Notamacropus eugenii: one gene and its partner. The protein of the gene in region 1 interacts with the protein of each later gene in a pairwise test. Links are inferred from orthologs where the notes say so. Each region holds a gene or a part of one and is shown in the gene's direction. Other genes may lie near its edges.

The links.
Region 2: the proteins of GRAMD2B (region 1) and CD207 interact in binary tests that used the Homo sapiens proteins (3 or more experiments, as listed by UniProt). The two-hybrid records come from large-scale screens. The link is inferred for Notamacropus eugenii from reciprocal best matches to the Homo sapiens genes GRAMD2B and CD207.

Annotation. Positions count from the first base shown.
Region 1 is NC_092874.1:348,594,679-348,603,743, reverse strand, and holds the start of GRAMD2B (GRAM domain-containing protein 2B), read left to right. Parts: upstream 1-5,548; 5' UTR 5,549-5,641; coding exon 5,642-5,760; intron 5,761-9,065.
Region 2 is NC_092877.1:47,059,464-47,068,246, forward strand, and holds the start of CD207 (C-type lectin domain family 4 member K), read left to right. Parts: upstream 1-4,939; 5' UTR 4,940-4,974; coding exon 4,975-5,050; intron 5,051-5,711; coding exon 5,712-5,828; intron 5,829-6,680; coding exon 6,681-7,058; intron 7,059-8,783. UniProt on the Homo sapiens protein: Calcium-dependent lectin displaying mannose-binding specificity. Induces the formation of Birbeck granules (BGs); is a potent regulator of membrane superimposition and zippering.

The DNA of each region.
Region 1 (9,065 bases):
TGTATATGTTCAATACCACAACCACATATTTACCCTAAAGAGTTCAAAGGAAGATGAAAAGAACCCATATGCACGAAAAATATTTATAACAGTTCTTTTTTATAGTGGCAAAAAACTGAAAACTAAAGACATGCCTGTCTATTGGAAAATGGACAAACTAATTATGGAATATGAATGTAATGGAATGTTTTTGCTGCATATGAAATGAAAGAACAGTTTCAGAGAAAATTGAGAAGATCTCTGAATGGATATATGGTTAAATAAGCAGAACAAGAGAAAATTACTGCAAAGATTTTTTTTCACAGTTATGTTTTCCATATAACTGTATAGATTTTGTTTGTGGAAAAGCTTTTTTAATCATTTTCCCAAAGGATCCTTTAAAAATAAGAAATAATAATAAAAAGGAAAAGGATATATGTGTACAAAAAAGTATTTATAGAAGCTCTTTTTGTGGTGGCAAAGAACTGGAAATTGAGGGGATGTCCATCAATTGGAGAACAGCTGAAAAACTTATATGAATATAATGGAATATTAGTGTGCTATAAGAAATGACAGATGGATTTCAGAAAAACACAGAAAGACTTATGTGAACTGATGCAAAGTGAAGTGACCAGAACCAAGAGAACATTGTGCACAGGAATAGTGACATTGTGAGATAATCAACTATGAATAACTTAGCTCTTCTCAGCAATACAATAATCCAAGAAAATTTCAAAGGATTCAGGATGGAAAACACTATCCACATCCAGAAAAAGAGCTGATATACTCTGAATGCAGATCAAAGCATGCTATTTTCACTTTATTTTTTTCCTTTTTGTCTGTTTCTTTTCTCACAACACAACTAATATGGAAATATGTTTTATATGATTGCATATATATAACATGTCAAATTTCTTGCCTTTTTAGGGAGATGGGAGGGTTAAGGACGGAAAGAGAAAATTGGGAACTCAAAAAAAATTAAATAAACATTAAAAATCATCTTTTCATGTAATTGGAAAAAGATAAAATACTATTAAAACATTTAAAATCTTTAAAAACCAGGACACACAAGTGGGTGATTTTAGTACTGTACACTGTCCTCCAATAAGGGACCCCTTTCAAGTATATATAAATTAGGTTCACTCCTGGGAGAGCCTGACCTCTAAAAAAGGGGGTCAGCCTATTTTGTCTCATTTTCTTGCTAGCCCTTCATATTCTTTACATTCCAGAGTCCCATGGCCAGATCTCTCCCCCTTACCTTCCCTCACCTTTGGGCAAAGGAGGACTTCTCAAACTTCAAAGGATCTAAAGGATATTGGACCTCCCGTTGACACTAGGAGCTAAGGGCAGGAAGAAATAGATTTAACATGCTATTGGAGTATCCCGCAAATGGAAGAAAAGGACGTGTAGCTATTAGACTTTGTTAGTTATCCTGTGTTTTCTCTAAGCCTGAATCTACTTCCTACTTGTCTCTGTAGACAATTGGGAAAGAGTTTGCCATAGATTGGGAGAGGAGGAGGGGATGTGTTTTGTATTAGCTCTTCTTATTGTACCACTTTTCTTTAGAAAAAATTTTTTTTAAGGATTTTAGGCTGACTGACTAAATGATTCTCAACTGATAATTTTGGGAGAAGTAAACCAGTGGGGCCTTGAGTCAATGGTATTAGAAAATCATCCCTAACCCTCTTAATCGCCAGATCTAATGCCCTATTCTCAATCTTCATCTTGATGAGATCGCCTATTGGATATCTCAGAATGAATGTTATGGGAATAAGATAACTTAGCTTCATCAACTAGGTTTTGTGTTAAGCCTCCATTTTGTGACCAAGTAATTATTATATGTTGTTTTTCTGTAATAAGTATTTGTGCAGAGTTTGGTAATGACATATGTCAGAATATACATCTCCCAAATCACTTCTTATGATGTTTGCATGTGTTCTTAACTTGTTAAACAACTGATAAACACTTACTATTGAAATTAGGAAACTGAAGTTTTGGTTGATAGTTTCCTTTCATCATAGGTACAGATACTCAATCACAAATCAGAACTATGTGTAACTTAGAAACACTCATAGACAAAAATATTTAAAACTACTAGAGGTCCCAGTCATCAGTCTGTTTCTAAGTCAAGACTAGGATAGACTCGTGTTCTTCACACACATAAGATTGAGCATCCTATGTACACTTGAAGGTAGTACCAATTGCAGAAACTTGTCAGAATGTTACCTTGTAGGGAGATATATTGCCTTTGGATGAGTAGGAAGGGAACTTTCTCATGAATAAGACATTTACTGGAACCTTTGTTTTTATAGTCAATAAAGTTTGATTGCATACTTGGATGAATATGAATCATTTCAGTATTCAATAAAGTTTGATTGCATTCTTAGATGACCATGAATCGTCCAAGTCCTATTTCACATGTCCAACGGCCTTTCAGATGGCTCAAATTGGATGTCCAGGAAGCATCTTAAACTCAGTATGTCCAAAAAGGAACTCATTATCTCTCGCCTTGAACCCTCTCCCCTTCCTACTTTTTCTATTACTATAGATGGCAGCACCATCCTCTTAGTCTCTCAGACTCACAACCAAAGACAACCCTGAGTTACACAAGGATACACAAAATGTGAATAAAATAAATATAAGGTATTTGGGCATAGAGAAGACACAAGGAACTGGGAGTGTCAGGAAAAGCTTCCCTTTCAAATTGGGGATTAAACTGAGTCTTGAAGGAAAAGGTTAGGAGAGAGTGCAGGTAGAGTGGAGGGGTCTGATAATGCAAAAGCCTGTTGATGAGGGATAGATTGTCACATGTGAAGAATGCAAGAAGGCAAGTTTGGCTGGACCATAGAGGGTGGGAGGAGGAGTAAAGTATAGTAATATGATACAAGTAGGCTGGCATCAGGTTATGAAAAGCTTTCATGTCAAATAAAGGTGCTGGTATTTGGTCATAGAAGCAAAAGAGCCATTAGTGTTTATCATCAACTGTAAGATTTATATTTCCATTGGGAAATGACTTTGGCAGTTTGTGGGGAGGATGGATTGGATAGTGGGGAAGACAAACAAGGAGATTGATTAGGAGACCATTGAAATGGCCCAGATGTTATTATAAAGGCATGAGCTGAAGTGAGCAGAGAGACAAACTTTAAGGTGAAGGAAAGAATGAAAGCTGCAAACCTGGGTAACTGGTAGATTTTAGGAGAAAGATGATTTCTATTTTGGATTTGTTGAGTCTGAAATACTTGCGTTATATTTCACTTGAAATATTCAATAGACTGTTGGAGATACACAACTCAAACTCAGGGGAAAAAAAGAGTAGGGCTGGATTTATACCTCTCTAAGTCTTCTACATAGACATCGCAATTAAACCCATGAGAACTGAGAAGCCCATCAAGTGATAAAGTAGAGAGAAAAGAGAAGACCAGTATCTTGGGGTATACCTACAGATAAAAACATGATATGAATGATAGATCAGCAAAGGAGGAGAAGGAATGGACAAATAAACTGAACAAGAATGAAGACAGAGCAGTATCACAAAAATGCAAAAAAGAAAAAAAATCCAAAAGAAGGGAATGGTCAACAGTGTCAAAGGATATAGAAGAGTAAGGCCAACAAACATTTTTTAAGCAGTCATCATGTGCCATGTGTTATGCTGCTTTAAGATTACAAAGGAAGGCAAAAACAATCCCTCAGTACCAGGTTATCTTGGAGCAGTGGGGGGAAACCTCCAAGAAGAAATCAGGATGTGCCTCAGTTTGATGCCTTAGAAACATCAAGGAATATCTCCTGGTGAAACTGATTGAGCATTTCTCTCTCTCCCTCTCTGTCTCTCTGTCTCTCTGTCTCTGTCTCTCTCTGTCTCTGTCTCTCTGTCTCTCTCTCTCTCTCTCTCTCTTTCTCTGTCTCTCTCTGTCTCTCTCTCTCTGTCTCTCTCTGTCTCTCTCCTCTGTCTCTCTCTCTGTCTCTCTGTCTCTCTGTCTCTCTCTCTCTCACACACACACACACACACACACACACACTCAGATCTTCCTCCTACAGGGAGAGATCAATTACTAAGTGAATTGCCTAATATGTTTATTTGTTATTCACCTTTGTAAAGGTCTTTCTGTAACTGGCAATTGATGGGAAAGGAGTTTATCCTTTGACAAAGTTTGGACATTCTTTCTCCCTTAAGGGACAGAAAAAAAGAAAAATAGGGTTAACACAAAAACTCACTTCCCCTGGACTAGCCATATTTAAGGAAGGGGGGCAGAAAGATATAATTCTAGACCAGCCCTTCCTGAGGATAGTTGAGTGGGCCAGCCTTTTGGCCCTAAACATTTTTTCCCTTTAGGCAGGAATCAAAGTTTCCCATGGAGAGGAGCAGATGAGACTCCAGGGATATCTTATTCATGCCTCCTTGGTATGTAAACATACATATAACTTACACAGGCAACACACAAACCCTACATTTATATAGGTACATGTTGTCTACCTCAATAAAATGTATGATCCTTGAGGGCATTTATTTTTTGAAATCTTGAGGGTTTCATTTTTGTATCCCCCGTGGGTAGCAAGTTCTTAATAATGCTTGTTGGTTGATTGAACAATGTAGACTATTACTGATCCTATTTAATGAGTAATAAATGATATTCATAGAGTGGCAAAGTTTTCAAAGGCCTTTAGATGTTTTTTCTCATTCTAGTTTCACAGCAGCGCTGTGAGGTAGACACTAATATTTTTATCCATTTTACATAGAGTGAAGTGACTTAGCCTAAGAGCCAGAAGCATGTCTTGAAGACAGGGCTTATTGACTAAGTACTCTCCCGGAAGCCACACTGCCTTCCAGGAAAGCAGACTCTGTAGAATAACATGCACTAAGTCACAGCTAATAAATGGCAGATGCCAAAGTCTTCTGAGTCCAAATTCTTGTGCTCTTTCCACCACATCATGCTGCCTCTATAAAAAGAGCTCAGCACTCAGAGCTGTTCAGAGTGAATCAGGGCCCTTTTTGTTTGTAGAAGAATTGCAGTATTGTTTCTGAACTATAGGATAGGGATTCTTATTCAGCTGAATTAAAGAGATTCTCTCATTCAGCTCAAACGCCTATGGATTCAGTGTTTAAAATGCTTACAAAGAAAAACATACAACTTACATATTGAATAAGTCCTAATTTTCTATGTAAAACCTCCACAAGAACTGACACAAAGGACCGCAGCTTCTTTTCTATGCATTTTTCCAAGTTACATTCTCTAGAAAGGCCAAGTGTAAAGGAAATTCAAGGATTTTTAGCCCATTACTACTCCTTTGGATAGTTATTTTAAAAGTCTTTTGATTTGCTTGTAGTGTTTTGGATATCTCTAGTTTCCTAATTAAATTCTGTTTCAAAGTTCAATGAACAGATTTTTCCCATTTATTTTCCATGGTTACAGATTTCCAAAAGTGCTAATATGGCTAATAATAGGCATCTGGGATCAGTTGATATTTTGCCTATGAAAAAATATGGGTAAAAGGAAACCACTCCAAGCTTACTGTTACTCATTAACTTTTTTAAGAGGCCTAATGTAGATTAGAGGTCACTCTAAGAGAACTCCTGAAGTGACAGAACACCGCTCATCTATGCTCATTTCAGAGTGTCCATGATTGTTTCAAGCTTCTTTCTTGACTTTTGCAACTCACACACACAATGGCGAAGAAAAGACAATTGTCTAGTGATACTGTTTTTCATTTTGAAAATCTAAGCAGTCAGAGGGGTCTGAGTGAGGAGCTTAGTACAGCAGACAGCCCTGGATCCGTGTTTCTGAGGTAAGTACCGACAATTGGACGTTCTTTTTTTTTTCTTATTTCATTTGTCTATTTTTGTTTTTTTATTTTGGTAAATAGTATTTTATTTTTCTAATTACATATAAAGATAGTTTTCAACATTCATTTTTAGTAAAATTTTGAGTTTCAAACTTTTTCTTTCTCCTTCCCTCCCATCCCCCCTCCCCAAGACAGCAAACAATCCAATATAGGTCATACATGTGCAATCGTATAAATATATTTCTACATTATTCATGCTGTAAAAGAAGAAACAGAACAAAAGGGGAAAGCCACAAAAAGAATAGTATGTTTCAATAAACATCCTGACCCCACAGTTCTTCCTCTGGATGTAGATAGCATTTTCCACTATAAGTCTTTTGGAATTTGGTATTCTTTACTCTTTCATGTGACTGTCTCATCCAGGCTATTCTCCTTATCCCACAGATCCAAAAGAAGTAGACTCAAACTTCACAACCTCCACACTATCATTAACACTATATTTTATCTTTCTTCTTGATATGAAATAAAATTTAAGCCAAAGAAGAAAGCAGACATGGGAAAGATGTGCCAAATTTTCAGAAGTACATAACCTAAAAATATGGTATTTTCAGAGAGAATATAATAAAAATTACTACTCAATGTTAAAGAACAGGAGTTGGAATGTGTTCACTAACATTGACAAAAAATTTGACCCTTTCCTCAGTTTCAGCTAGGTAGATAAAGCAGAAACAAATAGCTGGAATTACAGATACATTTAGAGATTCAGAAAAATAACCATTTTTTTCCTATACATATTCAATAGATATGGGAGGGGGATTGCTCTCTGGCTCAACTACTCATTAGGGATATAGTGATTTTAATTAGCTTTGGTTTTTCCTCTACATTTATCAATTAGGGAATGACTCATTCTTATAAATTTGACAAAGCTAACTAAAATATATTGATAATAGTAGCATTTCAAGTTTGCAATGTACTGTACATGTGTTATTTTATTTGATTTTCAAAATAGTTCTGTGAGCTAACTACCAAAAGTATGGTTATTTCCATTTTACCATTATTATTAGTTAGCAACAATTTTATAACTCAAATAGATGTGCTAATTGACAAAGTTCTTTATATATTTGAAAAACAAGACCTTTATCTAAGAAACTGTCCCCCAAATTTTTTTTCCCTGTTTTCTGCTTTCCTTCTGATATTGGCTACATTGTTTTTGTTTGTACAAGAACTTTCTTCATTTCATATAATTGATGTTGTCCACTTTACAATTCACAATAATCTCTATCTCAAATTGTTCTCCTGTTCATGAATCTTCTAGGCAATATGTTCCATGTTGACCTTATGACATGGGCTAAGATATTGATCTATGCCCAATTTCTGTGAAACTGCTTTCAGCTTTCCCACCAATTTTTACCAAATAATGACTTCTTATTGCAAAAGCTAAAATCTTTACATGGATCAGACAAAAGATTACTATAATCCTTTGTTACTGTGTATTGTATGTCTACTCTATTCCATTGATCTACCTTTCTGTCTCTTAGCCAGTACTAGGTAGGTTTGATATTTACTGCCTTATACTATAGTTTGGGGTCTGGTACAGCTGAACATTCCTTTATATTTTTTCATTAGTTTTTTTGAAATTTTTTAACCTTTTGTTCTTCCAAATGAGTTTTGTTATTTTTTTTTCTAGCTCAGTAAAGAATTTTTTAGCAATTTAATTGGGATGGAATTGAATAGATAGATTAGTTAGGTTAAATTGTCATTTTTATTATATTGACTTTGACTACCCTTGAGCAATTACTATTTCTCCAATCATTTAAGTCTGGCTTTATTTGTGTGAAGTGTTTTATAATTATGTTTATGCCATTCCTGGGTCTGTTTTGGCAGGTATACTCAGGTATTTAATAATGTCTAGAATTATTTTAAATGGGTTATCTCTTCTTGCAGAATTTTGTTGGTTGTATATAAAAATGCTGATGGTGTATGTAGGTTTATTTTATATCCTACTAGTTTGCTAAAATTATTACCTATTTCAACTAATTTTTTAGTTAAATCTTTAGGATTTTCCAAATATATCATCTTACAGTCTGTAAAAAGAGATACTTTATTACTTCATTTTCCATTCTGATTCCTTCAATTTCTTTTTCTTCTCTCATTTCTAAAACAATATTGAATAATATTGGTGACATAGTGTAGTTTCCCTGTTTATTGCTTTTAATTAAGTCTATATTAGCTTTAACCTTGTATGAAATCACGATTGCTATACCTACTTTTTTAATATCAGATGAAACAGTAAATTCTACTTCAGTGTTTTATTTTAACTCTGTCTCTCATTTTCAATTATGTTTCTTGTAAACAATGTATTGCCCGATTTTGATTTTAATCCGTTCTGCTATCCATTTCCATTTTATGGGTAAATTCATTGCATTCACATTCAAAGTTATAATTACTGCATGCATATTTCCCTCCATCCTATTTTTCCTCACTATTTATCCTATTACACAACCAATTTACTTCTAACCTCTACCTTGCCCTTCTGTTCCTTAATCTACTCACCCCCCCTTAGAGTCCCTATCTTATCATTTTCCATTACCCTCTTATTTCTTTATAAATTTATAGGACCTTTATATCCTCCTAGATGTATATGTTGTTCCCTTTATAACCTAGTTCTGATGAGAGTAACATTCCAGCACTACCAGTCCTCCACCCTGACTCACCTCTATCTTAGTTCTTTCTTTCACTCACTCCTCATTTGTATGAGATAATTGCTCTTTTTTACCTCTTCTTGCCCAGTCTTATTTTTTAAAATTAACCCATCTTACTCAACTGAGTCCAAACCTTTCTTTCAAGCTACCTAATGACAGTCTTAAGAGTATTCAAATATTTTCACATATAAGCAATTTGACCTTATTAAGTCCCTTATAATTGGTCTTTAATATTTACTTTATGAATCTTATATGTCAAATTTTCCATTGAGCTGCGGTCTTTTTGTCACAAATACCTGAAAGTCTTTCAGTTCATTGAATATTGTTCTTGTTATTATTGTTCAAGATTACATTCAGTTTTACTGAGAAAGTTATTTTTGCTCACACCCGCAACTCTTTTGCTCTTCAAATATTATGTTCCAAGACCCATAGTCTTTTAATGTAGAAGCTGCTAAATCTTGTGTGATCCTGATTGTAGCTCCATAGTAATTTAAATTGTTTTTCTTATTGCTTGTAGTATTTTCTCTTTAACCTCTCCTAATTTCGACTATGATATTCCTGTAAGTTTTCATCTTGGAATTTCCTTCAGATAGTGAACAGTGGATT
Region 2 (8,783 bases), on another chromosome or scaffold:
CATGTTGTCTCCTTCTGGCATGTCATTCCATCTTTCTGAACCTCACTTCCCCATCTATGAAATGTAGATGATAACACTTGAACTGCTTCCCTTACAGAGCTGTTATGAGTAAAGTCCTTCATAAATTGTATTAAAAATATTTTGTTGGTGCTTTTTTTTTGTACACCACTGTGATTTCCAAGTAGCTCAGCCCACCCTCCCAACAGAGTTGGGTAGCTAAGCATGACAATCAACACACTGGTCACATCTGATACATATGCTTTATTCTGTAACTACGGTCTACCATCTCTCTGCAGACAAGGAGACATACTTGAGGAAGAGTTCTTCAAAACTGCATTGGGAGAGTTCTGGTGTCTTTCAGTGTTGTTTTTCTTTCTATTTTTGTGTTCACTGTGTAAACTGTCTTCTGGTTCTGCTCATTTCACTTGGCCATAGTTCATACAAGTTTTCCCGTTTTCCTGAATTCTTTGTATTTGTCATTTTCATGATGAAAATAATTTTCAATTAGAGTCATATGCCATGATTTGTCCAACCATTCCCCAATCAATAGGTATACAATTTGCTTCCAGTTCTTTGCTGCCACAAAAATGCTATTATAAATATTTCTGTATGTATATTATATGCCATATGTGCATGCGTGTGTGTATGTGTGTGTGTGTGTGTGTATAATTGGTGATTTGGAACATTCTTTCCCTGTGATCACTATACCTACTGGGGTACAGTTCTTGTTATTCTATATTTTCATGAATTCCCTATGTATCTTGAATAACAGACCTTTATCAGAGATATTTGCTTTGAAGTTTTTATTCCCCAATTTGTAGCTTCACATTCATTCTGAATTTATTTTCTCCATGTAAAACTTTCTAATTTTATGTAATGAAAGTTATTTCTTTTATTTCTTATCAACATTTCTATTCCTTCTTAATCAAGAATTCATAATTATAAAAGGGATCTTTTCCCACACATCTCTTTTTGTTGTGGTATGATCTTTTATAGTTTAGGTCATGCATTTGGAGCCAAACTAGTTCTCCTAGCAATTTCTTATCAAATAAGGAATCCTTAACCCAGTAGTTTGTATTTTGGCATTTATCAGATAGTTTATCAGCTAGCATATTTGATTGCTTCTGGGACTGATTTACCTTGTCTGTTCCACTGATCAACTTTTCTACTTTTTAAGCACATACCCAATAGTTTCAATGATTACTGTTTTATATTGTAGTTTAAGGTTTGGCAATGCTATGTCCTCACTATTTACCTTGAGATTCTTACTATTTTGTTTATTTAGATGAATTTCATTATTTTGTCTACTAATAAAAATAAAATCCTTTATAGGGTAAATATAATCCTATATAAAGTGATCCCTTGAGATTTTGATGGGTAGAGTATAAATCTGTAATTAATTTGGGTAGTATAATTACTTTTATTATGTTGGCATGACCCAAACATACACAATGACTATCTGCTCAATTGTTTACATATTCCTTAATTTCTATAAAGAACGTCTTGAAGTTGCAATCATATAAATCCTGAGTGTGTCTTGATGGGTTATTGTTCAGAAATTTTATGTGTTTTGTCACTATTTTGAATGGAATTTTTAAAAATCTCTTTCTGACAGCTTTTATTAATAATATGATGATTTTGTGGGTTTATGTCATAATACTACTTTATTGAAGTTTTTAATTGTTCTGATTTTTTATAAAATTTCTAGGATTCTCTAAAAAAGTTATGTCATTTGAAAATAGAGATAATTTTCCTTCTTTCAGCCTATTTTTCAGACTTCTTTTCTTTTATTATTACTGTAGTTAGAATTTTTAGAATGATACCAAACAATGGTAAAAAGGGGCATTTAAAAAAATTTACTACCATCTTACTGGAAAAATATTAGTATCAAAAATAATGATAGTCCTTGGCTTTAGAAAAGTATTGCTTATCATATTAGGAAAGTTCTATTTATTTCCATGATTTTTACTGCTTTTTAAAAACATAAATGAATGCTACATTTTGTCAAAGGCTTTTTCCCATCTATTGATATTATCATGTGATTTTATTGTTTTTATTACTAATATGATCAGTTATATTTATAGTTGTTGTAATATTGAATTATCCCTCTTTTCCTGAAATAACTCAATCTTGTCATAGGTTTGTAAGTTGTAAAGGAATATGAGTCTTCTTATTTCTCTTTCTGCACTTTTTTTTCTTGCTTCTCATATAAAAAGGAAAGCAATAAATTTTGACTTGGAGGACCTGGTTTGAAATTCTAGTTTTGGTATTTATTATCTATGTGATCTTAGAAAACTTATCTTTCTTCTCTGAACTTCATTTTCCTTTTCTCTAAAGTGAAGGGAATGGGCTAGGGGATGTTTAATACTGCATCTAGCTCTACATTCTTCTATGATCTTCCTCTCTGCTTCCTTATTCTCCTCTTCTATACCCTCCTTCAGATGGGGACCCCAAGGGATGCATGAAATAGGGGTTGAATAAATGATGAATGAAAGAAGGAAGGGACAAAGGAGTGAATGGGGAAGGAAAGGCACTAAAAGCATCCCTTCCTCCCTGAAACCAGTCAATTTATTTCTATATTGAGCCTCATACTCTAATGAGCACACATATACACACAAAAGCTGAGGTCAAAGTGAACTTGATGGGCCAGGTGGGCACCCAGTGAACACAGTGATCCAAAGCCAGAGCAAGGAAAGGCTAGAAACATCAGCAGGGTATCCAAAGTTAGAACAAGGAGGCATTCTGGGCTTTGGGGGTCAGGAACCCAAGCAAAAAGTCCCAGGTCACAAGGTGTTTCTGAGTCCCTGCTATGCTCCAGGCAAGTTCAGGGCTACAGCAATGAATTAGCATAGTTTTTATACAGAGGAAGCACCAGGGTGGTGGCTGAATTCAAAACACGATATTTTACCCAGGAGTTCAGTCTGGGGAAGTAGAAGAGAGACAAGATGAAAAACAATCTAAGGATAATCCAGGAAATTAATACAGGTTCAAAGCATGAAAGGATTAAACAAGAAAAATGAAGGACAATAGTAGAGCTAGGGCCAGAGTTTATTCCCTCTGCTTTCCACTGACGGCTGGCTACTTTGGGTGTAGCCTCGTCACTCGGGTCTGGAATCATGGAATCATACATGATTAAGACTGAAAAGAAACACAGAGAAAATTTGATCAAGTCATTCATTTTATAGAGAAACAGAGACCCTCGAAAGAGGAAGTGACTATTCTAAAATTACCCAGGTAGCAAGTGATAGAGCCAGGATTTGAACTCATGTCTTTTGACCTCAAGTCTAGAGGTGTGGTGGTCTTGACATTCCATTCGACTTCCTCTTCAGATGTCCTTACCAAATAACACTGACCATAGAGAAGCCTTATCAAAGACCAAACGTAACCCTTTAAAGTCCAGTCAGGCTCATGCAATGGCATGAGTTACTTTAGTTTAAAGACAGCAGAAGCCCTCAGGCAGCTGTCAGAACAACTCCTCCAATGACATACTCCTTCCTCTCTCCCTTTTCTATACACACCTTGGCCAACAGCAAAAGAAGCTGTCTGGAGAAAACAGTCTTTCATTCAGCTCAAAGGAGACTTGAAATTCTCTATTTGTCTCCTCTGTCTGAAGAAACTATTGAAGGTGGATCTTTCTATTAGACACTGGATGAAAAGATAGAAAAAAATCCCCTACTTTAAAGAAAGGACACAGAACTCCCTTGTTCTGGCCGCCCCTGATGTGATTGTGGACATGCTCACTCTTGGTGAATACAGTCAAAGAGTTAGACATTATCCTATCCTTAGGGAGCTTAGGTCTAATGGAAATAGACCACACTGATTTTAGACACAAGATGGAAGTACATTAACAGAGAGGCAACATGATATAGCAGGGTCTTAAATGTAGGATCTGCAAATCAAATCCTGGCTCTCCTACTTACTTCCTGAATGTCCTTGGGCTAACCACTTAACCTCATCTAGGCCTCAGTTTCTTCATTTGTAAAATGGGAACATAAAATTAGATGAGCTCTAAGGTCACTTCCAAGTCTAAATTCATCTTTGAGACATCTTTCCCTGGAGGATGCTGGTGAGGGTAGAGGTGTGGGAGAAGAGCTACTTAGGAAGGAGATGGGGTGGGAAAGGTTCACTTGCAACAAGTATAGGGAACATGAGTCTGAGGAACCTTTAAATTAATTTATTCCCCTAATTAACAAGCATTTATATTCTTTCCTTCTCATCCCCCACCACTAAACAAAATAAAAAGAAAAAAGACAGAAAAACACAAAACCCTCACAACAAATGTACAAAGTCAAGCAAAGCAAATTCCCTCATTGGCCGTATACAAAAACAGTCTACATTTTGAATTGCTCTCTTCTCTGTCAGGAGGTGATGCTTCATCTGTGGTCTTCTAGAATTATAACTTGTCAGTATATTGATCAAACTTCTCATCTCTTTCAAAGTTTTATTAGTAATATTTTCATTGTATAAATCATTTTCTTGGTTTGTTTCATTTCATTCCTCACCAGTCCATGAAGTTCTTCCTACTTTTTTCTTAGACCATATATTTCACAATTTCTTATGGCACAATGATTTTCCATTGCATTCATATACTATAATTTGTTCAGCCATACTTCAATATGCGCACTTTCTGAATTGCCTTTTTTTCCTGCACAAAAAAAGACCCTGAGCAGTCTTTTGAAGGAGGGAAGAGAAGAAAAAAATGGATAGGGATAGGATTTAGGGAATCTTTCTGTGACGGAGTCTTTGGTTGGATTCATGACAAAAGGTTCATGCTGACGTCCCTGAGGTCCTGGTCTGGAGGCAAAGGGTGGAGTTGTGGTCTGGACCTGGTCTCGTGAATGTAGCATGGACTTTTGGGGTTGAGGTGGGCAGGGTATCTCATGAGGACACTTCCCACTTTTATTTCTAGATAAAGATGCCCTTGAAGCAACAGTTGTGAGTGGTACCTAAGGACACAGTGTGACCCAGGCCAGGATGAAGGAAAATGAGAAGGAAATTCAAGTGGCCCATTTCACAGTGGACAACCAGGATATCTCCCTGTGGCCCCGAGGTGAGTTCAGGAGGGTCCACTCTGTTCTCCTAAACATGCAGACCTTCCTCATTCCCTCTTTTTTGTGCATTCCTGTATTTGACCTTCTTCTCCAGCTAACTTGTATATCTTACATTTTAAAATATTTAATTTTTAATTTACTATTAAATTTAAATAATAAATAATATTTATTCTCTGTATTCTGAATATAGGTAATATAGTATATATATAGAATATAGAAATGCATACATAAAATGTAGAATGCAGAAATAATAGAATAAGATAATCTTACCTATGAACTTTTTGTCAACTCAGTTAAGTATTAAGTGTTTTTATGTGTCAAACTCTGGGTATATAAAGAAAGCCAGCTGATCTCCTGGTAGAATAACAGTGTCTTCTTTTTTCGAGTCAAGCAGGGCTAAGCCCAGGGTCACATAACTAGTAAGTACCTAAGGCTAGATTTGAATTCCTGACTCCAAGGATGGTGGTCTATCCACTGAGCCACCTACCTCACTGTCCCAGAATGCCAGCTTCTTGAGAGTAAGGATTGTTTCATTCTTTGTATTTGTAACCTCGACAATTAACATAGTGCCTGACCCACAGGAAGCTCATTGATTAATTAATGCGTATTTGGGCCTGGTTCTTCTACAGACTTGCTTTCTTTTTTTTCTTCTCCCAACAGACCCTCCTCCAAAAAAGGAGTCCCCTGCAATCCCACGGACCTTGCCTTCTGTCTATGTGGCTCTTTTTCTGTTGGCAGTGGGTTTTGTTGTCTTCCTCCTGACCATGATCATTCTCTGTAAGTGAATGCCCTTGAACTCCCATGATTCTTGGCCTTTCCCCAGCTTGGGAGAGGAAGGGCTTCTTCCTTGCACACTCACAGATAAAGTTACTCCTCACCCCACTGAGGCTTTGTCCTGTTCTTGGCAGCCACCCATTCCTAGTCCTATTTCTCTTTCCCGTATGCCCGCATCTTCTCCTCCTTTTCTTCTTATTTTTCCTCCTCCTTCTCCTGCAGGCTCCTTTCCCAGGTCTGCTCATCTTTGCCCTCCCACTGCAGAACTGACAGTAAGATCCAGAGCTAGAAGGGACATTAGTGACTATCCATTCCCTCATTTTACAGATGAGGAAACTGAGCTCCAGAGAAATTAAGTTACTTATCTTTGTCCTCTGGCTGCAAATTCCCATACTTTCCCTTTTCCTCCAGACTCTTTCTTCAGTCCCTTGCCTCTCTCTCCTTATGTTTCTTTCACTAGTTTCATGTACCCCCATCTTTGGTTCCTACTACATGCTTGTGTCCTGTACCCCATTCTCATGGCTCCCTACATCCTCCCCTGGTCCTACCTCTCTGCATTTAGGGACTTGTCTGTGACCCCTGGTGGCCCTTCTCTTATGAGCCCCACTGTTAGCTATTCCTTTGTATGAATCCTTATACCGTATAACTTAGGCACAGGCATAAGTGGGGTATGATGAAAAAAAGTACTTTCTGAGGTCAGAAGAGCTGGGTTCAAATCCCTCTTTGGACACCACCTGTGTGACTCTGGCCACGTCAGTTAGTCTCTCTGATCCTCCATTTCCTCATCTGTGAAACGAAGGGGTTGGAACAGACAAGTCAACCCTCCAGCTAACCTTATAATTTTTTCCTCCCCAGATCCCCAGTTACTGGGAAGGATAAATGATGTCAAGACTTCTGTCCAAATGCTCCAAGGCCGTGCGGAGAACACCAGTGTCTTTCTCAGCTCTGAGATAAGGAAGCTGAGAAACAAACTGGAGGATTCCCGTACCCAGGTCCAGACGCTAAACCGCAGCCTGGGGAATGCCAATATTCAGATAAAGCTATTAAGTGCCAAGCTGAGGCAGGACACGGAGCAGCTTCAGGTATTGAGGAGCACTTGGAAAGAGCTTGAGGATTTAAACAGCCAGATTCCAATGCTGAAACAGGATTTGAAGAAAAGTAGGGAGCTAACTGCTAATGTTGAGCAGCTCAGGAAAGACCTGCAGACCCTGGGGGCATCCTTGTCACAGCAGCGTGAGTACTTGGTGTCCCTGTGGGGGAGGACGGTGTGGGAGAAGCTGCTCCTGAAGCTTCAGATGCTAAGGATACTGGGGAAGTTGGATCTAGGGTCAGCAGAGCTCAGGCAGGAATTCTGAGATGGAGAAAGGGACCCCAACAGGGATAGAGAGCCCTGCCATGGTGAAGGAGGATGTCCCACTGGGAGGTTGGAGAAGGCTCCGGGATCCTTCAAATGAAGAGGCCCTGTAGAAGAAAAAAAAGATGACCTCTGGACTGTGACTTTAAAAATGAAAGTCACTGGAGAACTGTCTGGTTTTTATAGCCCCAGTTATTTTACACCAGGTCACATTATCAGGTGGAGCATGGGCTATCCCTTGCTGGCTACAGGGAGAGTCAAGTAACCTATCCCCTTCTAAGTTTCAAGATCTGGACTCTGCCACTGGTTTTCTGTGTGAGCTTGAGCATGCCCCAGCATCACAAAATCTCAATGGTACAAAGAACTTCGAAGGTGGTCCGGGCCACCTCACACCTGAACAAGATCTCTGAACGAACCTTGAATTTGGAGTTGACCTTAGCTTTTGACCTTAGTTCAAATCCTTTTTCAGTCCTTTACTACCTGTGTGACTGTGGGAGAGTCACAACCTCTCTGCACCTCAGATTCCTCATAAAATGAAGGGGCTGGACTTGAGGCTTTCTAAAGTCCCTTTCAGCTTTAAATTTATAATCTCATGATGAGGGATGCCTCTAGTTCCTAAGGCAGCCCATTCAACTTTCAGATAGCTTTAAATATTAGGAAAGTTTCTTTATATCAAGCCCAGATTTGACTATTTTTTCCACTTCTCCCCATTGCTTTTTATTCCATACTCCTAAATTATCCCCCTGCCCCAGAAAAGAAAAAGTCTAATCTCTTTTCCATGAATCAACTTTTCTTTTATTTTTGTGTATTTAGTATTCTATTTTTCCCCAGTTACATGAAGAACAATTTTTAACATTTGTTTTAAAAAATTTGAGCTCAAAATTCTCTCTCTTCTTCCCTGCCCCCCCCAACTGAGAAGCAAGCATTTTGATATAGGTTATACATGTGTAGTCATGCAAAACACATCGATAAAAGTCAATGCATCAGCTTTTCAAATACTGAAGCCTCATCTTCTCTTCTTTAGCTAACCTTCTCCAGTTTCACCAGTCCTCAAAGGACATGGTCTCAAGATCTTTCCTAGTTACCTTCTTCTTAATACTTTTCAGTTTATCAAGGTTTTTCCCAAAATTTGGTGCCCATGATCAAACACAATACTCTTATATGGTTTAATTGGCCAAGGCAAGGAAGAATACAGCAGGATCAGCAAATCTACATTGATCTTGGAATCATAACACTTGGGTGTGAAGCTTGTCATAGCTGCTTACCACCTGAATGACTCTGGGCAAGTCAATCCATCTCTGGGCCTCAGTTTTTTCATCTGTAAAATAATAACAATAGCTAGCCTTTACAAAGTATTTTTTTTATCTTGAGTATCACCTTCCTAGTAGCCATTTTTTGCTCCATCCTTTTCAGTTTAAAGTTCATTTTCCTTTTCAGGGAAAACAAATAAAATATGAGCTGGGCAGCTCTGTCTTCTCTCGTAATTAGTTATCATCACCCCATTCACCCCTTACAGGTAGTGGTCCTAGCCTTTCTTTGAACTTTCTTTTCCCCCAAAACATAGCTTAGAAACATCTCTGCTCATCACTCTTTCGACCATCCTT